Linked DNA regions of Mus musculus. The main gene of each other region encodes a partner of the protein of the gene in region 4 in a complex. Links are inferred from orthologs where the notes say so. Each region holds a gene or a part of one and is shown on either strand. Other genes may lie near its edges.

Region 1 (4,042 bases), on a different chromosome or scaffold from region 4:
ACACACACACACATCCAAACACATATGGGCATGCATCTCACCCCCCCCACACACACACCCAAACACATATGGGCATGCATCTCACCACACACACACACACACACACATCCAAACACATATGGGCATGCATCTCACACACACACATCCAAACACATATGGGCATGCATCTCACCACACACACACACACACACACACACACACACACATGTGGGTATGCATCTCACCCCCCCCCCCCACACACACACACACATCCAAGCACATGTGGGCATGCATCTCACCCCCACACACACACACATCCAAACACATATGGGCAGCATCTCACCCCCCCACACACACACATCCAAACATATATGGGCATGCATCTCACCACACACACACACAGACACACACACACACACACACACACACACACACACGTATACATCAAACATAAAGCTACAAAACATTTCAAGCTTTAGGTTGTTTGAAACAAAGGGGAGATAGCTATAAGTGGCCATACTATAAGAGAGAAAAAAAAAAGACTGTTGCATCTCTAAATTCCATCCAATTCTTTCTCCAAACCAATTATTTCTAGTTGTCTATCTGATAGCTACTCCTGACTGATCTATGGATGCCAGCAACAATTCTAGTTCCTCACCTTGGGTCCCCACAACAGTCAATTTAGCCAGAAACCATCTGGCTCCCCTCTCCCCTGAGACTAGCCTATAACCAAGTTTACTTCTCAAAGCTCATGACAAGTCATGCCCTCACCGTTCCCCTCTGCTCTGACCTTCATGCCTTCCTCCCGATTACCTCAACAGTCTAAAACTTCCCATTTCTTCTAACACACTCTCCCTGTGGCCAAAGTGGCCATTCCAAAATATCTCCCACTTTAGACCAGTTGGGGCACCTCAACCTCAGTTTGTGACATGGTTGCATGAGGTGCTCTGTAAAACAGACAGCGCCATGCACCACCTTCAACTCTTCCCTCCTTCTTCAGTTGTACCCTGACACATCTCTGCTCCTCAGGAAGCCTGGCAGTTTCTTCCCTTCCCGCTCCTGTACCTGTCAAGCACACAAGCATCCCCACCACAGACAGAGAAGGCCCTCCCTACTTATTCTGAACCTTCTAGGCATTCTTCCCTAGCGGAGCAATTGTGACCACTTCTCAAACATCTCTTCCCGTAGAGGAAGGTTCACAGATATTTAACTCTGAATCCTGAGCATTGACCTAAGCCTGGCACATAATAGAACTAAAAACATGTTTGCTAATTAAAATGACTAGTGACCATAACAGAGTTGGGACCTCCTCCTGATCTTTACTCTGACACACACACAAACACCTCAAAATGCATCTACCTTATAGGCTCAGGGGTAAGAGAGATGGCTCAGCAGTTAAGAAAATCTACAGCTCTGTAGAGGACGCCAGCCCAGGTCCCAGCACCCACATCAGTGATTTACAGCTGTCTGTAACTCTAGCTCCAAGGAATCAGACACTCTCTTCTGGCCTCCACAGAAATATCCACATACATAAAAGACACACAAGAACACACAAATGAGAGGAAGAGAGGAGGGAGGGAGGGAGGGAGGGAGGGAGGGAGGGAGAAGAACCCAAGTTCACCACAGCTCCAACAGTTCAAGTCTCATGGTTTTAATATTTATGTTTATTGCTTATGTGTGTGATGTCTTCCCAAGAAAGAAGCCTGTCTCATTCACCACAAGCCTATAATATCAGTAACATTCATTTATTTGATATTTATTGAGCACCTACTTTATTGTGTACCAAACTTAAGTACTAGGTAGGCACTCATGTTCTACAGGGGTCGGGGAAGGACAAACAATACATAGGACAAATAAAACCTAAATGCTTAGGGGAAAAAAAAAAAGCAGTGAAGACAAGAAGAGTGAGGAAAGGCTTAGATTCTAATGGCCCTAGTGAAGACTCCAAGAAAGAGAGCAGACAAAACAGACATCCAACCACAAGAACAAAGCCCTTAAGTCAAAGCATGTCCTGCGGTGGTGTTGGGGGTGGGGAGAGAATGTGGGGTGTAACAGACATTGAAAGTATGGGTCACGTTATTTAAAAGCCTTACAGCTCACTACAGGGAGCTTATATTACTATTGTTGTTGTTATTTCTATGATTAGTATTACTGTTATTATTACTAAAGCGCTGACCTTTGCTTGTACTGAAAGTCATCTAGGGGGGTAGGGGTGGGGCAGGGTCTAATGTAGATCAGGCTGGCTTCAACTCGCTTTGAAAGCGACACCATGCCGCCCATGCTGTGATTTTCTTTCAGAAGGGACCCAATATACTTGGGCATCCCTTACAGAAGACAGGATACAGGGTACCCAGAAACAGGTGAGACAACCGAAGCGGCAATCATTAGCATCCTGTCGGATTCTCCGTAAAAGGAGATTAAAGTTGACAGGGGTTCGCTGGCCGCCCCTTCACCCGGAAGAGCCATTCTCTAGAAGAACGGCCCCCACGCCCCAAAGAGGGCAGTCAGGCCGGGTGACGCCTGGCAGCCGTGGGTGGGCGTGGCGACAGAGCACCAGTGGGGAGGACCACGCTCGGAAGAGCCTAGTCACAGCACTCGGCGAGCAGTCGCCGGCCGGCATGCCCAGCTACAGCAAGAGAGGAAGCACGAGCCTCTTCGAACTAGGCTCGGTGTTCTGCTTCAAGGCCAGGCCCCGAACTCGGGCCCAGGGTCGGCTCGGGGCCGCGTGGGCGCCCACACCTCACACACCTTACCTGCCTCCGTCGCCGCCCGCTGCCGGCTTCTTCACTACGCCGCCGCCGCCGCTTCTCGCGCCGCTCGCCCGCGCCTCCTGATTGGCTGAGGCAGTAAGCTCCCAGAAGCCCCTGCGCGTTGCGCCGCCAAATGAACTTTATGGAGACCCGCAAGAGGACACAGGCGTGGGGGCGGGGCGGGGCCGGAGGCGGGGCTGTCGCTACAAGTAAGTCAAGGAGCTCCGCCCTGCTCCCGCCCACGTGGTTGGAGTTGACAGTCCTAGAGGAAGCATTTCCGCAGTTCCCAATGCTGGGCAGACCCAGAGAGCTCGGCCACTCGGTGTAGAGCTTCAGTCAAGTGCCTGGGCCTGTTCTAGGTGCAGGGAACACGGTGACTTCCACAGCAGACAAGATCCCTGACCTCAAGCAGTTCTCAGCTTGGCCAGGGAAACAAAATATAGTGAATAAATGCAGCAGTAATTAGGAGAGCTAAGAACGGAAAAGCAAACTAATTGAAGAAAAATGGTCGGATGGCCAGGAAAGGTGTCATTCCAACTGAAAGGTGAAAGATAAAAACATGTTTTGGAGTTTCTCAAGGGAAAAGGCTGTCTTTTGGCAGCCTGAACAAGCAAGCTAGGCTGGCCACCTGCCCCGTTGGCCAATTACAGAAAAAAGCAGTGGTGATACCCAAAGAAAAGAGATTACTTCAGTGTGGCCGCGTTGGGAACAAAGTGTGTCACTGGGATATACAAGAACCCTTCAGGAGGTTCTTAGTCTAGTGGGTAAAAGAAATTTGAAAACAGGCGCTGAATGAAAACAATTTTGTTGGGAGTTTGAGAGAAAAATAACAGGACAGGCAAGCTGCAGGTCTCAGCAGCTGCTGAGAGGAGAGACCTGGATAGGAGGAGGTTTTGACAAATGTAAAAGAGTGTGGGGCTAACTGTAAGCACTCGTGTGTGAGTGTGTGTGTGTGTGTGTGTGTGTGTGTGTGTGTGTGTGTGTGTGTGTCCTGGTGCTCAAGGAGGCCAAAAGAGGTCATCAGATCTCCGGAGTAAGATTACAGGTGGTTGTGAGGCGGCATGGGTACTAGGAACCAAACCCAAAGTCCTTTGCAAGAGCAGTATGCTGAGCCATTGCTTTAGCTCCCGTAATAGCCTGTAATCGTTAAAGAGGCACTTTTTGGATTGCACAGTCTCGAACATGTCTAATCTTTCAATGAAGGTCACCGTCCTGACCTAATGAGGACCATGTGAACACAGGCCTAGGCAAGGTTGTCACCATTAATAATTCTAGTTTGGTAGATGCCTGTTTGATAAAGTGTTCTAGTCAGC
Region 2 (3,500 bases), on a different chromosome or scaffold from region 4:
CACATGCATTCAGTCCCAGCACTCAGCAGGCAGAAGCAGAGGCAGACCTCTGAGTTTGAGGTCTCAGAGTGACTGGTAGATAGAGAAAGTTCGAGGCCAGCCAAAGCCATCTTGTAAGCCTCCCAAAAAGTGTGTGTGTGTGTGTGTGTGTGTGTGTGTGTGTGTGTGTGTGTGTGTGTGTGAAAGAGAGAGAGATTGAGAGATTGAGAGATTCACATTTGAACATACTGAGGCCCCTAGCACAGTAGCACACTTCTGTAATCCCACATTTTAGAGGTGGAGGCAGGAGTAAAGGTTTTTAAAAAATGTACTGTGTGTGGTACTTTGCCTGGATGTGTAGACGTGCACCATGTGAGTGCCTGGTGCTCTTGGTGTGCAGAAGGAGCCATCAGCTTTCCTAGAACTGGAGTGATGGTGGGTGGTTGTGAGCTTTTGTGTGGTGTGGGTACTGGGAACCAAACCTGGCTCCTCTACAAGAGCATTGTGCTCTTGACCACTGAGCCAACTGTCTCTCCAAGTCACTAGTTCTTACAAATACAGTTATGGAAGGAGGGAAAGATGTGTAGTCACCTTGGTGGCTTTGGTGCAATAGAATGTGTTAGTGTATGGAACTGACGTGGTGCTCCCTTGCTCCCTGTGTTTTAGCATCCATGAGCATGTTCTCTGATTTCCTGCACTCTTTCTTGAAGCACTCTTCAACCACAGTCTTTGATCTCGTAGAAGAATATGAAAATATTTGTGGTAGTCAGGTAAGTGAATTCTGTCCTATGTTTGGTCAGCTTAAGTGCTTGGAGTTTTCTTGTCTCTTTGGAGAAAAAAAGAAATCTGCTCCTTAGAAAAGAAAGTCTGAGGCTAGAGAGACAGCTTAGTGAGAAAACGTCTGAGTCTGCGAGCATGGGGGCCTGAGTTCAGATTCCCCGCACACCAGGGCCATGGCTGTGGGGGCAGCAGGGCAGATCCAGGAGGCCATCCCTGACAGGAGTGACAGACGCACCCTTACTGCGAGATGCCGATAGTGAGGGAGGGCGTCCGTGCGGATGTGGGAGCAGGAATGGTGGGTTCTCTAGCTTTCATTCAGTTTTGCAGTGAACCTAAAAGTGCTATTTATAAAGCAAGGAACAGAACTTCAGAAAATGGTCATGTGTGAGAATAAGCGGAATATTGGCTTGGGAAGCAGCCAAGCAAATAAAGTGTTAGCCACACAGGCAACTGAGAGTGGTAGGCAAGCAGCCTCTTATGTCTGTGTTCTTCCCGTAGGTGAATATCCTCAGTAAAATAGTGAGCCGCGCAACGCCTGGACTGCAGAAGTTTTCCAAGACGGCCAGTATGCTCTGGCTTCTCCAACAGGAGATGGTCACATGGAGGCTGCTCGCCTCTTTGTACAGGTAACTTTCTGTAGAGCTCACAACTCCTAAGTGAGACGAACAGAAGCTAATAAGCCAGTTCGGCAGATGAATTCAGTGTTAATGAGGGGTAGCCTCAGCATAGGTTTGCTGATCTTGGGATTTATCATTCCTAATACTTGAGGTGTGGAGAGTATGTTATGAGGAAGAGGGGCCATCAGGTCATAAAACTGGGAGCTACAAACTTACCAGTCCATAGCCAGACAAAGCACAACACCCGTGTGATCCCAGGAGGCCTAGGCGAGCCTGGGCTCCAGAAAGTAAGGGAAGAAAGAGACCTGGTGGTTTGGGGTTTTATTATGCAATACTGAAAGATTTGCTTAATTATGCTATATGAAAAGGTACGTTCCTTTGGGGGTGCCTTCAGGCTACAGTAGTGGTTGCCCTTTGTGCTCGGGTCTTGGTACTGGAGTGATGATGTAGTTACTGCTTACTTCCTTCATTAAAGGTGATGATGGAGCCCACTGCATCTCATTGGTTTCTACGCCGTCACACCACAGAGTGTGGGACAGCTTACCAGGTGGCTTCATGCATTTGTGTAAAGTAAAGCTTTTTCATTTGTGTTCTTTTCCCCAGAGACAGAATACAGTCTTCATTAGAAGAGGAAAATATGTTTGCAATTGCTGTAAGTTTTCTATGAATTTTTTCCGTCACAGGTTTTTTCCATTACGCTTTACAGATTTGATTTTTCAACCCTCCATTTGCATTTCCCCATTAAAAAAGATTTACAAGTACAGAGATGATGTTCAAAGTAATCAAATGTTTATAGTTATGGGTAAAAGTTCTTTTTATCCCTCAAATTATTTAACGTAATAACTTGGATTAACATCCTATCAGATGTTTTCTGTGTATTTTTATACATACACACATAATCAAATTACTCTTGAGTCATTTGTTCTGTTTTTCTTTTCCCTTTTTTGAGACAGGGTGTGGTTTTTGTAGTCCAGATGGCCTCAAAGTCACCACCCTTCTGTCTCCCCATCTTGAGTGCTGAGATTATAGATATACGCCATCACACCACACATCTTATATTGGTTTTATTTATTTATTTACTATTGGGCATTTTCTGAGAGTCTCCTGAAGTATAAACTGGCCTCTGAAGTATAAACTGGCCTAGACCTGTCTGTCGGGTCAGAACTGCCGGGATTATGAGGGAGCAGACGGCACCCAGTCAGGCCTCATGAATGCCAGGCATCTCTGCCAGCTGCGCCACATCCCAGCACATGGCTTTTTGTTTTGCTTTTTAAAGATTCATTAGTAATAAATCTGTATGTCAGCAATAGTAATTTTATATGGGGTTATCTTTTTTCCTGTCCCCCTAACCTCTTATTGTTATGTGTATGTGAAGATATAATTGCATCTTAACTGTTATAGACTATTTTACTTCTCTATTTTGGAGGCAACTGTCTCATTTTAATATGTAAATTCTTGGTTACTGTTAAGAAAGGAAGTTTGTTTGCTGACAGTTGGAAGGAGACTGGAAACGGTCAGTGGTCTTTTGGGGTTTTGTTTCTTTTAGCTTCTGTTAACAACTTTCTGTAGTTTATCGTCATCGTGGATTGTAATGATAGCTTTCCTAATACTACATTATTTCTGTAAAGATGGGCCATGTGGTATTCCTATATGTACTTCTTGATTTTATTAGGCACACTATTTAAGACTTTAAGGTCTGTGGTATATTTCTATAGCATCCTCATATAATCTTCATCTATAGGATTATGCAAGTTCTTCAGAACAAGTTCAAGAAAAAAGGGTTGGTTTTTTTTGGTATATGTTTTTTGTTGAAGAATGTGCACATTAATTTGTTCACTGAAGGATGAGCAAAACTGTCTGTGACAGCAATGCCTTCAAGGAGTCAGGCTGCTGCTGGCTCTCTCCTACCCCAGAGACACCCCAGCCCCTCCCTGGTTTTGGTTTTAGTTTCTGAAATAAGGTCTAGTGTAGGCACAGCTCCAAATTTTATCACTTTATGAAAGTGTTTTACCAGCATATATGTCTGTGTACCACGTGTGTGCCTGAGAATTCCCTGGAACTAGAGTTCCGGTGGACAGTTAGGAGCCCCCGTGTGGGTGGATGATGGAAATCAACCTCATGTCC
Region 3 (3,500 bases), on a different chromosome or scaffold from region 4:
ATACCTGAGGCCCTAAGTTTGCTTTCTAATAGCAACGACAGCAAACTCTGTCTTTGTTTTTTGTTTTGTTTTGTTTTGTTTTGTTTTGTTTTGTTTTGTTTTGTTTTGTGTTTGAGTGAGAGGTTCTCTGTTTAGCCCTAGCTGTCCTAGAACTTACTGTGTTGATCAGGCTGGCCTCGAACTTCAGGGATCTGCCCACCTCTGCTCCCCCAGTGCTGGGCTTAAGGCGTGCGCCCCCTGTGCTCAGCTTTGTTCCTGTGCAGGTGGTTTCCTGAAATGACGGTGTTACACGGTAGAAAGCAATGTGGTCACGCGTGCACGTGCCTGCCTTTGCTGCAGCTGCCTGCTTTGTTCCTTACTCACATTTGTAAAACTTGTGAAACACAGATTCTTTACTTCTCTTTGACATAGTTTTTGTGTATGAGAAGTAGGTGACTCATTTTATCTTTAGAGAGCATTTATTTATATTTTAGAATTCCTGTATAGAAAAAACAGTGAGTGCTTCTTTTTCTAATTTCTGCTGTCTATGAAACTTATTGGAAGTTGTTAACTGAAATTTAGGGTTGTTGTTTTTAGTTTTTATGCATATAATACTTTAACAGCAATACAGATATTTTGTTATATCAAATAATGATGTTAATTAGTCATCATTCCTTTTGAAAATGCTGTGTTTATGACTTTTAGATATCCATGTGTGACGGATGTGAGAATTTATTTCTGCTCTTTTTTGGTGAAGTGATGTAATTTTGTGTTTTCAGATATGATTCACCACCTTCCACTGTTGACAGAGAGACAGTACGTTTCGACAATTCACTCTCGCCTCCAGGACTCTCAGCCTTGGAAGCTTCCTGGACTGCAGGCCACTGTTAGGCTTGCCTGGGCCCTGGCGTTGAGGGGGATATCCCAGCTACCGGATGTAACAGGTAAGGAAGGAAGGTTGGAGAGAACTGGCTCTGCCACTGTACCTAGCGATGCATTGATTTTCTTCCTTTAAAAGTTTTTAGGTGACTTATTTTATGTGCGAGTGTTTTGCCTGCATATATGTCTGTATTCCACATGTGTGTCTAACATTACCTGAGATCCAAGAATTCCCTGGAGTTAGGAATGGTTTCTAGTTATCATGTGGATGTGGGGAATGGAGCCTGGGTTTTTTTGAGGAACAACATCCAGGGCTCTTAACCACTGAGCCATCTTTCCAGCTCTAAATGCGTTTGTTTTCAAATATCAAATTTTAAATCAGAAAGAGAAAGTGTAAATATGAGCACGTGAAAATACAAGTTGTTTGATAAAAATTTGTGTTAGCACTTTTCATTCCAGCACTCAGGATGTAGGCGGATCTCTATAGTTTGGGGCCAGCCTAGTCTACGTCGAGCTCCAGGCAGGCAGGGTTGCATAGAGAGACTGTCTCAAAAACAACAATAACACACCCCTCATAACTTTGTAAAGTAGAACTGAGATGCACCTTATTTGCTGTCTCAGAAGAGAACCTCAGAGGTTACCTCCTTTTGTGAATCTAGTGAGAGGTCTTTACCTTCAGTGTAGGAGTTGAGAAGAGTGAGACTCCCACAGAGTCATACCTATCCTTTTTCTTTTTTGTGGTACTGATGATTGACCTTAGAGCCTTCTAAATATGTGCTAAGGGAGGAGGGTTCTGCCACTGAGCTACGGTTCTAGTTCTTTCTTTTTTAAACAGGGTCTCATGTATCCCAGGCTGGCCCCAAACTATGTAGCTAAAGGTGCCCTGGAGCTTCTCATTCTCCTGGCTTTACCTCTAAAGTGCTGGGATTATTAAATGTGTGCCACCACTTAAATTTTTGTTTACAAACTTTTTCACATTGTATCAAACTGAAGATCTAGTTTTTTAAACTCAGTGTGTTGGAAAGGAGATGTTTGGATCAATCAAGCATAGATAGGTGTGATGCTTTGAATGAATATGCTTGGCCTAGGATGTGGCACTATTAGAAGGTGTGGCCTTATTGGAGTGGGTGTGTCCTTGTTGGAGGAAGTAGGTCACTGTGGGGGTGGGCAATGAGACCATCCTCCTAACCACGTGGGAGCAAGTATTAGCTGCCTTCAGAACAAGAGGTAGAATTTTCAGCTCCTCCAGCATCGTGCCTGGACACTACCATGCTCTCTTTGATAATGGACTGAATCTCTGAACCTGTAAGCCAGCCCCAATGAAATGTTGTCCTTTTAAGAGTTGTCGTGGTCATGGTGTCTGTTCACAGCAATGAAACCCTAGCTAAGACAATAGGGCCATTTACTTAATCCTGTTCTACACAGGGCAAGCTATTCTGTTGTCTAGATTCGTGAAATGATGCTTAGAATGGTTTGCTTTACCAGCTGTCCTTTCATTGTAATTTGAAATACAAAGGCTTTTTCACTTCTCTAGGTTTGCGTAAGATGAGGTTCAAGGGAGGAAGAGTTTATTTTGGCTCCCATGGCTTGTGGGGGTTTGTCATGGCAGATAGAGCTCAGAAGGAGTATAAGAAGTGATGGCATGAATCTGCAGTCAGGAAGCAGGAAGATAATATGGTGTTGCGCTAGTTTGCGATCTTTTTTTCCTCTTTAAATTCAGCCTAGGGCCTTAGCCTATGGTGTGAAACAATCATATTCAAGGTGAGTCTTTCCTCAAGTAAACCTCTCTAGAAGGTGGGGCTCTTAGTATTTGGGATGCAGAGGCAGGAGGATCTCTTGAGTTGAAGACCAACCTAATCTATAAAGTGAGTTCCAGGCTAGCCAGGGCTACACAGTTGAGACCCTGCCTCAATAAAACCAACCCAAACAAAGTCAAAACAATAACAAGAAAACCTTTGGAAATGTCTGTGATTAAAGCTCCTATATTGTTTTTGCATGCTATGTTTGTATAAGAGCTCTCTGTCTATATCAGTGTTAACATTGCATTGATTAGCAAGTCACTTATGGGAAGAGCCAGTGCTCTTACAATTGTTTTGCTTTGTTTGAGACAAGGTCCACTATGTAGTCCTGGCTAGCCTGCAGCTTGCTACAAAGACCAGGCTGGCCTCAAACTCAGCACTCTGCTTCCTGAGTGCTGGGGCTAAAGGCATACATCACCATATCCAGCTACATTTGTATTTCAAATGTACTCTTTTAGTAGTTCTTTGGAGTTTGTGAATCAATTACAATTATATATAATTTCATTTTGTGCATAGCACCTGTTAGGAGGCTGGAAAAATGTCTGAAATATGCTTCACTAACATTCTGTCATGAGATACAAGCTGAGTTAAAGGCTTTTCTCATTTTGCTTTTCTGTGTTCTGAATCTGTAGCCCTGGCTGAGTTCACAGAAGCAGATGAAGCAATTGCAGAGCTGGCCATTGCTGATAATGTCTTCCTGTTCCTCAGCGAGGCTGTTGTGCTGGCTGAAAACTTCTATCAGGAAGAGTTTTACATCCGCAGAATCCACAGTCTTATCACAGACTTCCTTGCATTTATGCCAATGAAAGTAAGTATGGAAGTGTAGGAAGAGCTTTGTGAAAG
Region 4 (4,227 bases):
GGAGAAACACCTTTAATCCAGCACTCGGGAGGCAGCAGGCAGGTGGATTTCTGAGTTCGAGGCCAGCCTGGTCTACTGAGGGAGTTACAGAACAGCCAGGGCTACACAGAGAAACCCTGTCTCGAAACACAAGAAAGACAAGGTATCTGGCTGCTTAGCCTATTTTGGGGGATCATTATAACCCAGTGCCCAACATGCAATCAAGACTGAAAAAATAAGTGTGGGACAAACCAATATGCTTCCAGGAACTGGAAAGCTACTTACTATGATTAATAGAACAGCATGAAGATAAAAACCAATATTTAAAAATCTAGAGAAATAGAAAAAAATAATAAGCCCTTTGCACTGTGGCTAGATCTCAAGTCATTGCTATTATCACTTTTGAAAGTCACTGGCCAAATGACAGGAAACCACATTCCTGGAACCCCCGAAATAAAGTAATTACATTGAAAGTGCTCACTGAAAAATAACACTAATTTCCACTGAAAGAAATTATTCCACTGAATAATTCAATAATTTCCATCGAATTACCACCCAAAAAAAGTCACTAAGTTCGGGCAATGTAAAGTGTTACTGTTAACTTACTGCAATTCACCTTGAATTTACTGTAACATGAACCAAAGGTCAAAGACAGCTTGAAGCTTGGAAAACATCACATCTCAAGTTCTATTCAGCCATAAACAAGAAGAAAATCATATCGTTTGAATGAAAATGGTTACGTTGGGGATCATCATTATTATTAATAAAGGAAGGCACAAAAATGCAAAATCTAGATTTAAATATATGTATACATGACATAAAAGGGGAGGGGAGGACTATTATTTGGGAAGAGGAAGGGGAACAGTAAGAGGGAAAGGGAGGACAAGATTTGCTAACAGGTGAATGTGAACAAAGTAGGCTAAAGTACATGTATGAAAATGTCATATGATGTCCATCATTTGTAAAATGAATAATAACATTAATAAAAAAGCAAACACACACTCTAATAAAATCTTCTGCCTACGTCTGTGAGACAGGGTTTGATGTAACCTAGGCAGGCCTCACACTTACTATGTTGCTGAGACTAGCCTAGAATGCCTCCACCCTCCAAGCACCCAGGATGACAGGTGTGGGCCACTATTCCCAGCTTCATCATGGACCCCCCATCACCCTCCTTTGCCCTTCTTCCCAACTAGTTCCTCTTCCACTTTCATGTCTTTTCTATCTGTGACCCACTGGGTTTAATTAGAGTTGCTTGAATGAGCATGGGAGGGAGTCTTATTTATAGGAGCACCGGCAACTAACCAGCAAATACACCACTGGAGAAAATTACTCCTCCCTCACAGCAGCCACTGACTTTACCTACGGCTCCTCGGGGAGCGATGGGGCCTCAAAGTCCAACCCCCACCACGGAATGTTGACAGGCCCTGTCTTTTGTGTAGGTAACCACAGTTATGATCTCACGAGAGCAGCCACCATGCTGTGTCCAGGAGGCAGTGTCGTTACAGCACACCTTCCCGTTCATCTTGCATTCTTTCTGCCTTGATAGAGATTTTGAATATGTGGGGGAAATGACACTAACAACAAGTTCCCCAAAACATATCTCATTCACCTAGACCAGGCTGGCCTTAAATTCAGAGATCTACCTGCATTTGCCTCCTGTGTGCTGGGGTTCAAGATGTGTGCCACCAAGCCGCACAACAGGTAATCTTTTAAAAAAATATTTTTTAAATTGTGTGTGTGTGTGTGTGTGTGTGTGTGTGTGTGTGTGAGCTTCCCTCTCAAAAAAAAAGTCTCTGAAGCAGAGATTTACACACAGGAAGGAGCACACAGTGTGCTCACAGAACAGCATTGCTAGGGGAGTGAAGAAAGCAGGATTAGGCAGAGAAAACTGAACTGAAATTGACCAGGATGGACCTAGATGGAAGCAAGGGACCAGGACCTTAGGCTTCATCTTGATCCACTGAGATGCATCCACTGAGTGCAGACATAACTCCCTTTTTGCCAAGTACAGAAGGACAGGGGTTAGCAGGGCTCTAGGGGAGACTTTATCTTAGTGAGATTTAGAGGAGTAATTTAGTAAAAATGGAAAAATTAAAGATGCTAAAATGAGGAATAGACCGAAGGTCAAGGTAGGGAGGGTGTCTCTCTATAAGTTCAGACACAGTTCAATGTACAGAAACAGAAGCATAAGGCTATAATTGCTGGTAGGAAAATATGGTTGCAGGGCAAGTTGTCTTCTTTTGTGAGGAATGGGGACGTCAAGACAGTTTCTGTTGCCCTGGTTGTCCTGGAACTCACTCTGTAATGCAGGCTGGCCTTTAACTCACAGAAACCCACCTACCTCTGCCTCCTGAGTGCTGGGATTAAAAGCTGCTTTTTGTTTGATTTGAGCCAGGGTTTTAGGCAGCCTCAGGCTGGCCTTGATCTTGACATAAATTGGAGGATAATCTTGAACTCCTGATCTACTTGCTTCCAAAAGCTGCTGTCAGTGTGCCACTATGCCCACTCGGCCGACTTCAGAGTAAGCTAAGAATGAGTGGGGGTGAGGGCTGGAGACATGGCTCAGCGGTTAAGAGCACCGACTGCTCTTCCCAAGGTCCTGAGTTCAAATCCCAGCAACCACATGGTGGCTCACAACCATCCGTAATGAAATCTAGCGCCCTCTTCTGGTGCATCTGAAGAGAGGTGTGGGCAGTGACAATCACGAAATAGTCATTAAGGCAATAAATGGTCAAGGGAAATGCAATTGCTGGGGCAGAATTATGGAACTTCGCAATGTTGTGATTCTGATGGAGTTGCCAACGAACATGTTCAGCTGTAAGCCTGAAGTTGTAGTTTAATTTATTTACTCATTCATTTACAAAGTCTCACTATGTAGCCCCAAACTGGCTCTGAATGATCAATCTTCAACCTCCAGAGAATACTGACCGATCCCAGAAAGAAATTCACAAACAATTCCTTGCACGTTTGCAAACTGTACTGTATTTTCGATAACTTCAAGAAGGTTGGGGCATTAATATTTAATTCAACGCATCCGACCCGTGTCGCTCAGAGTGGCAAGTGTCTGTAATCCTAGTACTCCGGAGGCTGGGGCGGGAGGATCAGAGTTCGAGGCCAACCTGAGCTGACATCTCAACACATACATGTGTATGCGGGTGTGTAAAGAAAAAGTTTCGCAAAAATGCCAACACAAAGAATCCCTCCTTCCTTTTACTTTTCCTCCTTGTTTCGCTGAACGATGAAGAGGCTGGATAACAACTTACACGCCAACGCTCTAACGGAGGGGAAGGTTCCCGCAAGCTGGGAGTGTGCCCGTCAGGCCTCTTCCCCGCCCGCGCCCGCTTTTCAAAATGAAAACACGCACAGCCCCGCCCCTGCTCGAGGCCGTCGGGAAAAGGGCGCCGCCGCCGCAGCCGCCGCCCGTCTCCGGCCGCTCCGAAGTGACCGCGAGTCAAGGCATCTTCTTCCCGCCTCAGCCTCATTCTCGCGGTGAAAAGCCGCAGATGAGCCTCCGACCCGCGGTCCTCAGGCAGCCAAAATCGCGCACACACATATCCCCGCCTCGCGCCACACCCCCGGAAGTGACGAGCCGACGTGACCCGCCCTTGTCCCGTCAGGCCTCACGGCGACGGCGGGAAGATGGCGGCGGCGGGATCCCTGGAACGGAGCTTCGTGGAACTGAGCGGAGCTGAACGCGAAAGGCCCAGGCACTTTCGGGAATTCACAGTCTGCGACATTGGTACGGAAAGGGCTTGGGAGAATGGGAGCCACTGCTTTCCCTCGGGCTCCCCAAGTAGGCCTTTGGTCTCCCCTGGTGGATCCAAGTCCACATGCCTGAAGCCTGTGCATCATCACATCTTGTCCTGTGCCTGACTTCTTCCTCCCTTTTCCACTCACTATTGTATGCACTGTCAGTCCCTTGCACTCTGCTCCTCGGCACTCTTCAGTGCCTGTCATCCCCCAGAGAACCGCGCATGCAAGCCCACCACATTCATTTTGTAGGGACTGCAAGTGCCGCGTTTGGAACGGTGAAGTACAGTGAGAGCGCTGGTGGCTTCTATTATGTGGAAAGTGGCAAGTTGTTCTCCATCACCAGGAACAGGTTCATTCATTGGTAAGTGCTGCGTTTTCCCTTCCCCCTACAGAGATGGAGGGTTGTCTAATGTGTAAATATCTGTGCCTGTTCCAAGTTACTACGTCTAGCCGTAATCCTCACACAAGCAGAGAACCGGTGTCTCGTGTTCA
Region 5 (4,300 bases), on a different chromosome or scaffold from region 4:
AACAAACGCAGAGGAAGCCAGGAAAGGCTTATGAGCTAACAACATGGTCAAAGAATTCAAGAAAGATAGATATGTAAGGGTAGTGTAAAGACGAATAGAAAAGGAGGAAGCTCGAGCTGTGAAACCAAGTCCCAAACCGAAACAGTCAATGCCAACAAATGGCGAGACACTGTACAGGACGGACTCAGACTGCACGGGAGGGAGCGGCAGCAAGACACAAGTGGGATGGGGAAGGAGCGAACAGAGGGCCTCAATATTGAGGCCCCAGCTTCAGGCCTGTAATACTTTCAGATAGTCTATCCTCTCACCTCAGTTTCTATCTACCCCTACTTGAAATGCTTAAAAATCACCTACAATGTTGCCCAATTTAAAACTACAGTTAACATTTAAGATATCAAATGTTATCTTTCTCACTGGGTTGAACATAAGAAATGTGTTCATAACAAATTTCCCCCTCGATCTTTACTCGTAATTTTAATCCTTAAATTGGGTATTTTCCCTCAGCACATAGCAACATTAGGCATCAGACAATTTATATCCTTTGTAACAGAGACGAGCACACTAAGAGTGTGTTAGTACTATTTTAAAAATTAAAAGCTCAATCTCAGAAATGTCTGAGCAAAGGCAACTATCTCTCCATCTCAAAACTTTTTAGGTTGCACTACAGAGATAGCTCAGTGAGTAAGAGTGCTCCTCGCCCTGCAATCTTGAGGACCAGAGTTCAAATCCCCAGCACTCATGTAAAAAGACAGGCCTGGCTGCAGGTGCCAGTGACAGAGGTGTGTTGATTGGAGTGACCCCAGAGTTCACTCTCTAGCCAACCTAGTTCAGAAGTACTGAACTTCCAATTCAATGAGACAGTCTGTCTCAAGGCAACAGTGTTGGAAGGCACACAAGGCCGTACTCTACACTGCACATGATACACATGGAATGTACAGGTCTGCACAAGCAACAAGCATAGGCCACAAACATCGTGTTTTAAAAAGCTGAGCTATATACCATCCCACAGAGGAAAACAGCAGTGGGAAGAGCATGCTAAGGACTCTCCCTTTAACTGGGTGAATGGAGAAGTTACACTTTCCATCATTACGCACTTAAATACAAGGTTCTACAAGCCATATTCTGTTTGTACTGTTTTCTTGTACCACCTGTGGGTGGGCACTACAAACAGCCTCACAGTTCCGAGACAAGCTTCTAAAATAGACTTTAAAGCAACAGTCACAAATGCAATTGAGTTAAACAAAAATGGGTCTTAAAAGTCCCCTGTTACCTTTAATTCATGATAATCTATGGCTTGGTCTTTGTCGGTATCAAACAGCTCAAAAGCATCTTTAATTTCTTGCTTCTGTTCTTCAGAGAGCTCTCTTCGTTTTTTCCTTTTTGTTTTGTCTACTACAAGCTCACCTCTAGGACACAGAAAAATGTCTTTAGGCCACTTTAACCCATCTTAGGACAAAGATTCATTTTCTAAATTTTAACAAAGCAGAGTAGCCTGGCAAATAAAGGAACTGCCCCTAAATCAATGTCCTGTAGTCAAATGTACTTTTATAAGAGAAATCCTAAACAAAGTCAAAAGCACCGAAAACACCATACATATTATTCATGTCATCTACCAAAAATAAAGAACAAAACAATGTCATCTACCAAAAATAAAGAACAAAACAATCAACCAGAATAGACTTGATTTTGGACAGCTTATAAATTCTCACAATTACTACAAAAAAACAACCATAAAACTTAAAAGATTACTTTTGCACTGTAAGCTCAAAATGTTTTTAGATTATACATTTGTAACACTGCTTTGTGGTTTTATTCCACTGATATTAGCCAGGCAAAATATAAAAGGGTCTAAACATTCAAATACTAGACACCAAAAAAAAAAAAAAAAAAAAATCACAGCATCTAATAGTCGTGCTTAAGTCTACGTGATGTTTAAAAGTGTTTTAACTCTCACTTAACATGTAAACGATAGGTTAAACGTCTTAAAACTCTGGAGAAGCTTAAAGAAAAATCTAAAAAGGGCACTTGGATCTGAAAATGTCTGCCTTCAAAAGCTGCCAATGCAAAAAGCGGTCCAAATGTGTAAACGAGGATACAGCACGTGTATCCGCACGTTCTAAAAGATGGAAGCTTTAAACCTCAAACCCTTGAAACTCGGCTAACTAACTGCTCGCGCTATTTACGTCTGGACGCCGTCGGGCTCAGGGACGCCGGCCCAGTGGCCCACGTGACCCCGGCTGCCCCCACTCGCCACACCCCCACGCCAGCTCCCGCCTCCTTCGTCACCCTGCGGAGCCAAAGGGGCGGCGCGGCGCGGCCCGCCCGGGGCACCTTTAACTGTAGATGGGCAAGGTGAGGAGCCAATGAGGGGAGGGATGGACGGAAGTGAAAGGACGGTGTCACGGAAACGAGCTCCACCCGAGACGCCTAGAGCACAGCGTGCCTCGGGGCCCGGGGAGAAAGGCGAGCGCTCCTGCGACTTTCCAGGGGGAATCAGGCAACCAGGGCTGAGTCCCGCAGTCGCGTGAGGGAAACCTCGCGAGACTTCACTCGGGCTGCGGCGGTGCCCGGAGGCGGGAACCGCCGAGGTCTGGTGCTCGGCGCTGGGCACCCGCCCCCGACCCGGTCTCCCGTCCACACCCGCCCTGGCCCTCTGGGGGGACGGAGGCACGGCCTCCTCGTTACCGACCTCAGAGCTAAACTCATTCTCTCTTCCGACAGAGATGTTCCACTCGGGGACTTTACCACGGGAACCGCTCAACAGCCACCAACCTCCACGCCTCGGGGACCACCCACCAGACAAGTTTCTGGGCGCGATTGGCTGAAATTGCCAACAGCCGGCCTATTGGGGCGGAAGCGTCGCTGCTCTTCTTTTTTCATTGGTCAGCATTCATGTCAATCAAGTACACATTTTTTGGCCCTGGTTGTCAGTCTGGCTCCCTGGATTGGCCAGGTTCTTTCCCGACTCCCTTGCGCGCGTATTAGAGTCACCACGCGAGACTCAGGCAGGCAAGGCGAGGCCCCACGCGTGACATGCACGGCGTCGACCGAGGGAAGGGAAAAGGCCAGCCCAAGCAGCCTGCTCAGAACGAGGGAGCAGTTTATTGGGGAACCAGGTCTGCGAAAAGATGTACAATTTTAGGTGGCCGGTGCACCTGAGAAACTTAAATCTAAAGGCGACATTCTTTATTCTTAGTTCAGTGAGGACCAAGCTAAGCGTTCTCCCCCGTACATCTCCCAAGTGATTTTAAGGCAGGCTGGATTATGGATTAGGCTTCTCGTTTTGCTGTTTTGTTAGGTCATTTACAATGAGACTAGCCAAACCACCCTTTTCTTCTGTGCGATTGGAAATGTGTGCTTGCTTCTGCTTCTCATTTTCTAGTGCTATAAAGTGTTTATGTGCGTCTTATCTTCACTGCCCACCAAGCCTCTTAAAGTTTACTTAGATCATCAGACTGCGAGCGAGACTGACTGTCTTCAAGGCCAGGGTTCTGTTTACACGAGTATTTGTACCAAACAAAATATCTGGAACTTAGGTGCTCCATAAATATTTGATGCATAAAATGAGGTATTATTGTGGAAAACTTGGAAACTACTGAGCTAACCTGCAGTGCTTATCGGTATAAATACAATAAACTGGGGCTAGGAATTAGAAACGGCAAATACTGTATGTAAGCTTATATGTGAACGAAGGACGCTGTGTAATTGGCTATGCATGAGTTAAGCTAGAGTGTAGATAGGAATTTGGACAAGTAAAGGATTGGGATAAAGCTAAAAAGTAATAGCTAAATGATAGCACTCCCAAAACCAAAGTAGAAAAATGTTGAAGAACTCAACTGGGCATGGTGCTACACATGTTTAATCCCAGCACCCAAGAGACATGTAAGCAGATCTTTGAATTCTTTACATTGTGAATTGCAGGCCAGCCAGGACTAGTAGTAGACCCTGCCTAAAATATAAAAATTAAGTACTTTTACTAACAAGTTTAAAAGGAAATTAGGCCAAGCAGTGGTGGCTCACGCCTTTAATCTCAGCACTTGGGAGGCAGAGGCAGGTGAATTTCTGAGTTCGAGGCCAGCCTGGTCTACAGAGTGAGTTCCAGGGCAGCCAGGGCTACACAGAGAAACCTTGTCTCGAAAAAACAAACAAACAAACAAAAAAAGGAAATTAGATTACGTCATATGTATACTAAAGAACACTAGTGAAAAAAAAAACTACTAAAATTTTAAGATTGTAAAACCAAGCCTAAGAAGAAAAGTATTAAATAAAGGTGAAAATAAACCATTTACATGGAGATGTT
Region 6 (3,500 bases), on a different chromosome or scaffold from region 4:
AGGGTCTCTCTCTTGCACATTAATATACGTAGAAATGTATCTGTTTTAAAATACAAAAATAACAAATTAAACATATACTGTACCTAGTATGTACATTAAAATAATTTAAAATAAAAATACTTGCAACTAGACTGAAATACTGATAGTAGATTACAGCCTAAACCAAGCAACCATCCAATTATTTTATTGTAGCTCAATTACTGGCTACCATTACTTATTTAACATAGAGTTTAAAAATATTCATTTCAAAGTAACTAATAACCATACAGAGCTAATAACATGTTTACACATTTTACTATTTAATTCACGATTTAGACACTTATTTTATGTGTATCTAAGTGCTAGCATAAAAGTATTTGTGCCACAATGGTGCCTGGTGCCCAAGGAGACCAGAAGGTGGCACCAGGTCTCCTGGAGCTCAAGTTACAGGTGTTAGGAAGTCCCCACTTCCTCTGCAAGAGCCTCTGAGCACTCCTAACCACTAAGCCACCTCTCCTGACCCTCATTTTACTACAAAGTGCTATATTCCTCAAATATTTTTCCACCGCTACCTACCAGAAATGAACACATAAAATGCTTTTTCTTCCTGATTACACTTAGTAAAGCATTGAAGAATTTCACATAAGATAATCAAAATGATTATCATCTACAAACAATAAAATTTTAAAGTGAAAATATGTAAAACACTAAAGTTTCCCAAACTAAGAGAATCGTGTCTAAACAAGAAAATTATACATAAATACATTATGTCATACATAAAATTCATCAGAGAGATAAGTAACTAAGTGTGGTATTAAAGAACTATCCTTTTAAAACCAAGGTTACATGCAGCCTTTCTCACTACCAAGTGCCCTCCTCTTCCTATCACTGCTTTCATAATCTGCCTCCAGTGTAACTTCCACCTCTAGGCTACTCTGAGTAAGGAAATGAGACTCAGCAAGTCTCTTGCCTTACTGACAAGACAGCAACTGCTCAACTGTTAGCACTGAGTCTGTGTCTGTTGCTTATCTCCAGCCACCTGAAGCACCAGATAGCTAACCAAGAAGAAATTGACAAACAGGAATGATCTCTTTCATCCTACCCGAGAGCAATTTTAGAAAAAGTGTTTTAAACCAAGTAACTTCTGCACTAGATATAAACAGAAAGCAGTAAGAAATACTTGTTAGAGGCTCAATCTAACTATTGTCTGAGAGCAGTTAATTCCTGATTCCAGAATACACTTGAAAGAAAAAATGTGTTCTTTAGCAGTTTTTCCTATTACAAGGATGAAAAATTAAAACATTTCCAGTTTGGTACTTACTTTTTAGCAAGATCATATTCTTTAGCTTCATAGTACAGCTTTGCAAAATAGAATCCTTTCATTGACTTCTAAAAAAGAGAGTTGAGTGGTTTTACTGTTCACATTTTCAAATATTGCATTTTTTTCAAAGTACCAAAAAAAATACCCTAACAAGTTTAATACTATTTTTTTTATATAAAAGGTAAAAAATGCTGCCTAGTGTTTTAAAAGTTAATGGTCCCAAATATTATAATTTCTATCATAAAAAATAAATTCAAGGATAGTTAAAACAGACATCAGAAGCTACATTTCAAGGCATGTAAAGTAATTCATATCTGTACTCCTAAGCACTCAGGAAATAGAAGCAAAAAGATCATGAGTTCAAAGCCATCCTAAACTCAAAACCAGCCTGAGCTTACAGACAGACAGAGACACAGACACAGTCAGACACACACACAGCTTCACTCATTCTGACTGGCTAGGGATGCTTGGCCATGTATTACCCAGCATGTTTTATGTATTACCCACCAAGTATTACCCAGCATGTTTTATGTATTACCCACCAAGTATTACCCAGCATGTTTTGTACTGACTCACTGGCATCACTCTACAGAGAAGTACACAGAAAACAACTTGTCTGGGGAAAGAGACATATACTAGAAATCACTCTTTTCCTACCATGTGTAAGAAGTCTCCTTGGGAAAGCATTTCAGAACCATTAAGGTACTAGAAATTCCCTGGTCAACGTACTATTTTCTTTACAGACCAGCATTTTACACAAGGCTAAAATAAAATTTGGTATTTTGTTTTGGTTTAGGTTTTTGTTGTTTTTTTATTTGCTTGTTTTTTGTTTTTTGAGACAGGGTTTCTCTGTATAGCCCTGGCTGTCCTGGAACTCACTCTGTAGACCAGGCTGGCCTCGAACTCAGAAATCCACCTGCCTCTGCCTCCCGAGTGCTGGGATTAAAGGCGTGCACCACCACCGCCCAGCTCAAGCAAGACTGATTTCTTAAGCAATGAAATTGGTTTTTTTGCTATTTACTTTAGTGGTAATATGCTAAGAAAAGCTATTCTCACTTGAGATTCGTAAAATTTTCATCCCTATTCTTTCAGTTTCTCTAAAATTATTTTGAAATATAACACCTATTTTTCCAAGTAGTATACACTGGAGCCTTTGTTTCTAAAACCAACCATCAATTTTCAAGCAATACCTACTAGATAACCCACCCATTAAACAAACCAATCCCTTTCTCCATATTTTGGAAAGAACCAAATGTTCACGTGTAACAGAATCTGGTTCTGTTTTGAAGCCATCTTCTAGCTCTAGCACAAACTGACCTGAAATGCCACTACAGCCCAGGCTGCAAATGAACTGGGATTACGGTTATGAGCTACTATGCATTAGTATGTATCTTTTATGTATTGCAGTCTTAATTTATTAATACCTCTTTCTGCTACCCAACTTTACAAATGATTTACAAGATTATATTTGAAAATTGAACATGACATGACAATAGCAAGTTGTATTTACTTTCAATTTTTTTTAACAGTTTGTTTATCCAATTTACTTGTCTGCATGTAGGTTGTGTACACCACATACCTGTGTGATGCTGGAGGAGGTCAGAAATTAGTGTTGTATCCCCTGGAACTCAAATTATGAGCCACCATGTGGGTCCTGAGAACTAAACCAGTGTCTTTTGCAAGAGTAGTAAGTGCTCTTAGCCTCTAAGCCATCTCTCCAGCCCCTTCAATTTTTAGCTAAGTCAGACAAACTTGTAATTCAGTATTAGCTTTAGTTATTCAAAAACAATATTACAATATACAATCAATGTATATATCTGACTAGAGGTGCTTTTGCAAGTTCACTAGGACAAGTAGAGGAGATATATCGCTACTATAAATTTGTAAACTATATGAACATAATATTTAAGATAACTGGGGCTGCAGGGGATCTGATACATTCTTCTGGCCTCCTTAGGCACAAGCACACACAAAGATACATAGACATACATGTAGGCAGTACACCTACACACATAAAAATAAATTTAAATTTTTTTTAAAGACTAAATATAATTAGGACTGACAACGTGGCTTCAGTGAGTAAATGTACCTGGCATTAAGCCTAAAGACCTAAATCCCATCCCTAGGCCTCACATGGCAGAAGAGAACCAACTGCAGCAAACTTACCTTTAACTTCTACACACGTGAGCATACACATATA

What was found.
Region 1: Nup160 (region 4) and Nup93 share a complex: the UniProt entries of both Homo sapiens proteins name them as parts of the nuclear pore complex. The link is inferred for Mus musculus from reciprocal best matches to the Homo sapiens genes NUP160 and NUP93.
Region 2: Nup160 (region 4) and Nup107 share a complex: the UniProt entries of both Homo sapiens proteins name them as parts of the nuclear pore complex. The link is inferred for Mus musculus from reciprocal best matches to the Homo sapiens genes NUP160 and NUP107.
Region 3: Nup160 (region 4) and Nup205 share a complex: the UniProt entries of both Homo sapiens proteins name them as parts of the nuclear pore complex. The link is inferred for Mus musculus from reciprocal best matches to the Homo sapiens genes NUP160 and NUP205.
Region 5: Nup160 (region 4) and Cetn3 share a complex: the UniProt entries of both Homo sapiens proteins name them as parts of the nuclear pore complex. The link is inferred for Mus musculus from reciprocal best matches to the Homo sapiens genes NUP160 and CETN3.
Region 6: Nup160 (region 4) and Ranbp2 share a complex: the UniProt entries of both Homo sapiens proteins name them as parts of the nuclear pore complex. The link is inferred for Mus musculus from reciprocal best matches to the Homo sapiens genes NUP160 and RANBP2.

What each region holds. Positions count from the first base shown.
Region 1 is NC_000074.6:94,213,322-94,217,363, reverse strand, and holds the start of Nup93 (nuclear pore complex protein Nup93), read right to left. Parts: upstream 2,801-4,042; 5' UTR 2,733-2,800; intron 1-2,732. UniProt on the Homo sapiens protein: Plays a role in the nuclear pore complex (NPC) assembly and/or maintenance. May anchor nucleoporins, but not NUP153 and TPR, to the NPC. During renal development, regulates podocyte migration and proliferation through SMAD4 signaling.
Region 2 is NC_000076.6:117,779,206-117,782,705, reverse strand, and holds part of Nup107 (nuclear pore complex protein Nup107), read left to right. Parts: intron 1-645; coding exon 646-749; intron 750-1,257; coding exon 1,258-1,385; intron 1,386-1,979; coding exon 1,980-2,028; intron 2,029-3,500. UniProt on the Homo sapiens protein: Plays a role in the nuclear pore complex (NPC) assembly and/or maintenance. Required for the assembly of peripheral proteins into the NPC. May anchor NUP62 to the NPC. Involved in nephrogenesis.
Region 3 is NC_000072.6:35,191,116-35,194,615, forward strand, and holds part of Nup205 (nuclear pore complex protein Nup205), read left to right. Parts: intron 1-758; coding exon 759-923; intron 924-3,289; coding exon 3,290-3,465; intron 3,466-3,500. UniProt on the Homo sapiens protein: Plays a role in the nuclear pore complex (NPC) assembly and/or maintenance. May anchor NUP62 and other nucleoporins, but not NUP153 and TPR, to the NPC.
Region 4 is NC_000068.7:90,675,788-90,680,014, forward strand, and holds the start of Nup160 (nuclear pore complex protein Nup160), read left to right. Parts: upstream 1-1,427; 5' UTR 1,428-1,683; intron 1,684-1,726; exon of another isoform or gene 1,727-3,226; 5' UTR 3,227-3,621; coding exon 3,622-3,721; intron 3,722-3,984; coding exon 3,985-4,096; intron 4,097-4,227. UniProt on the Homo sapiens protein: Functions as a component of the nuclear pore complex (NPC). Involved in poly(A)+ RNA transport.
Region 5 is NC_000079.6:81,781,747-81,786,046, reverse strand, and holds the start of Cetn3 (centrin-3), read right to left. Parts: upstream 2,801-4,300; 5' UTR 2,707-2,800; coding exon 2,690-2,706; intron 1,407-2,689; coding exon 1,271-1,406; intron 1-1,270. UniProt on the Homo sapiens protein: Plays a fundamental role in microtubule-organizing center structure and function. As a component of the TREX-2 complex, involved in the export of mRNAs to the cytoplasm through the nuclear pores.
Region 6 is NC_000076.6:58,449,852-58,453,351, reverse strand, and holds part of Ranbp2 (E3 SUMO-protein ligase RanBP2), read right to left. Parts: intron 1,369-3,500; coding exon 1,301-1,368; intron 41-1,300; coding exon 1-40. UniProt on the Homo sapiens protein: E3 SUMO-protein ligase which facilitates SUMO1 and SUMO2 conjugation by UBE2I. Involved in transport factor (Ran-GTP, karyopherin)-mediated protein import via the F-G repeat-containing domain which acts as a docking site for substrates.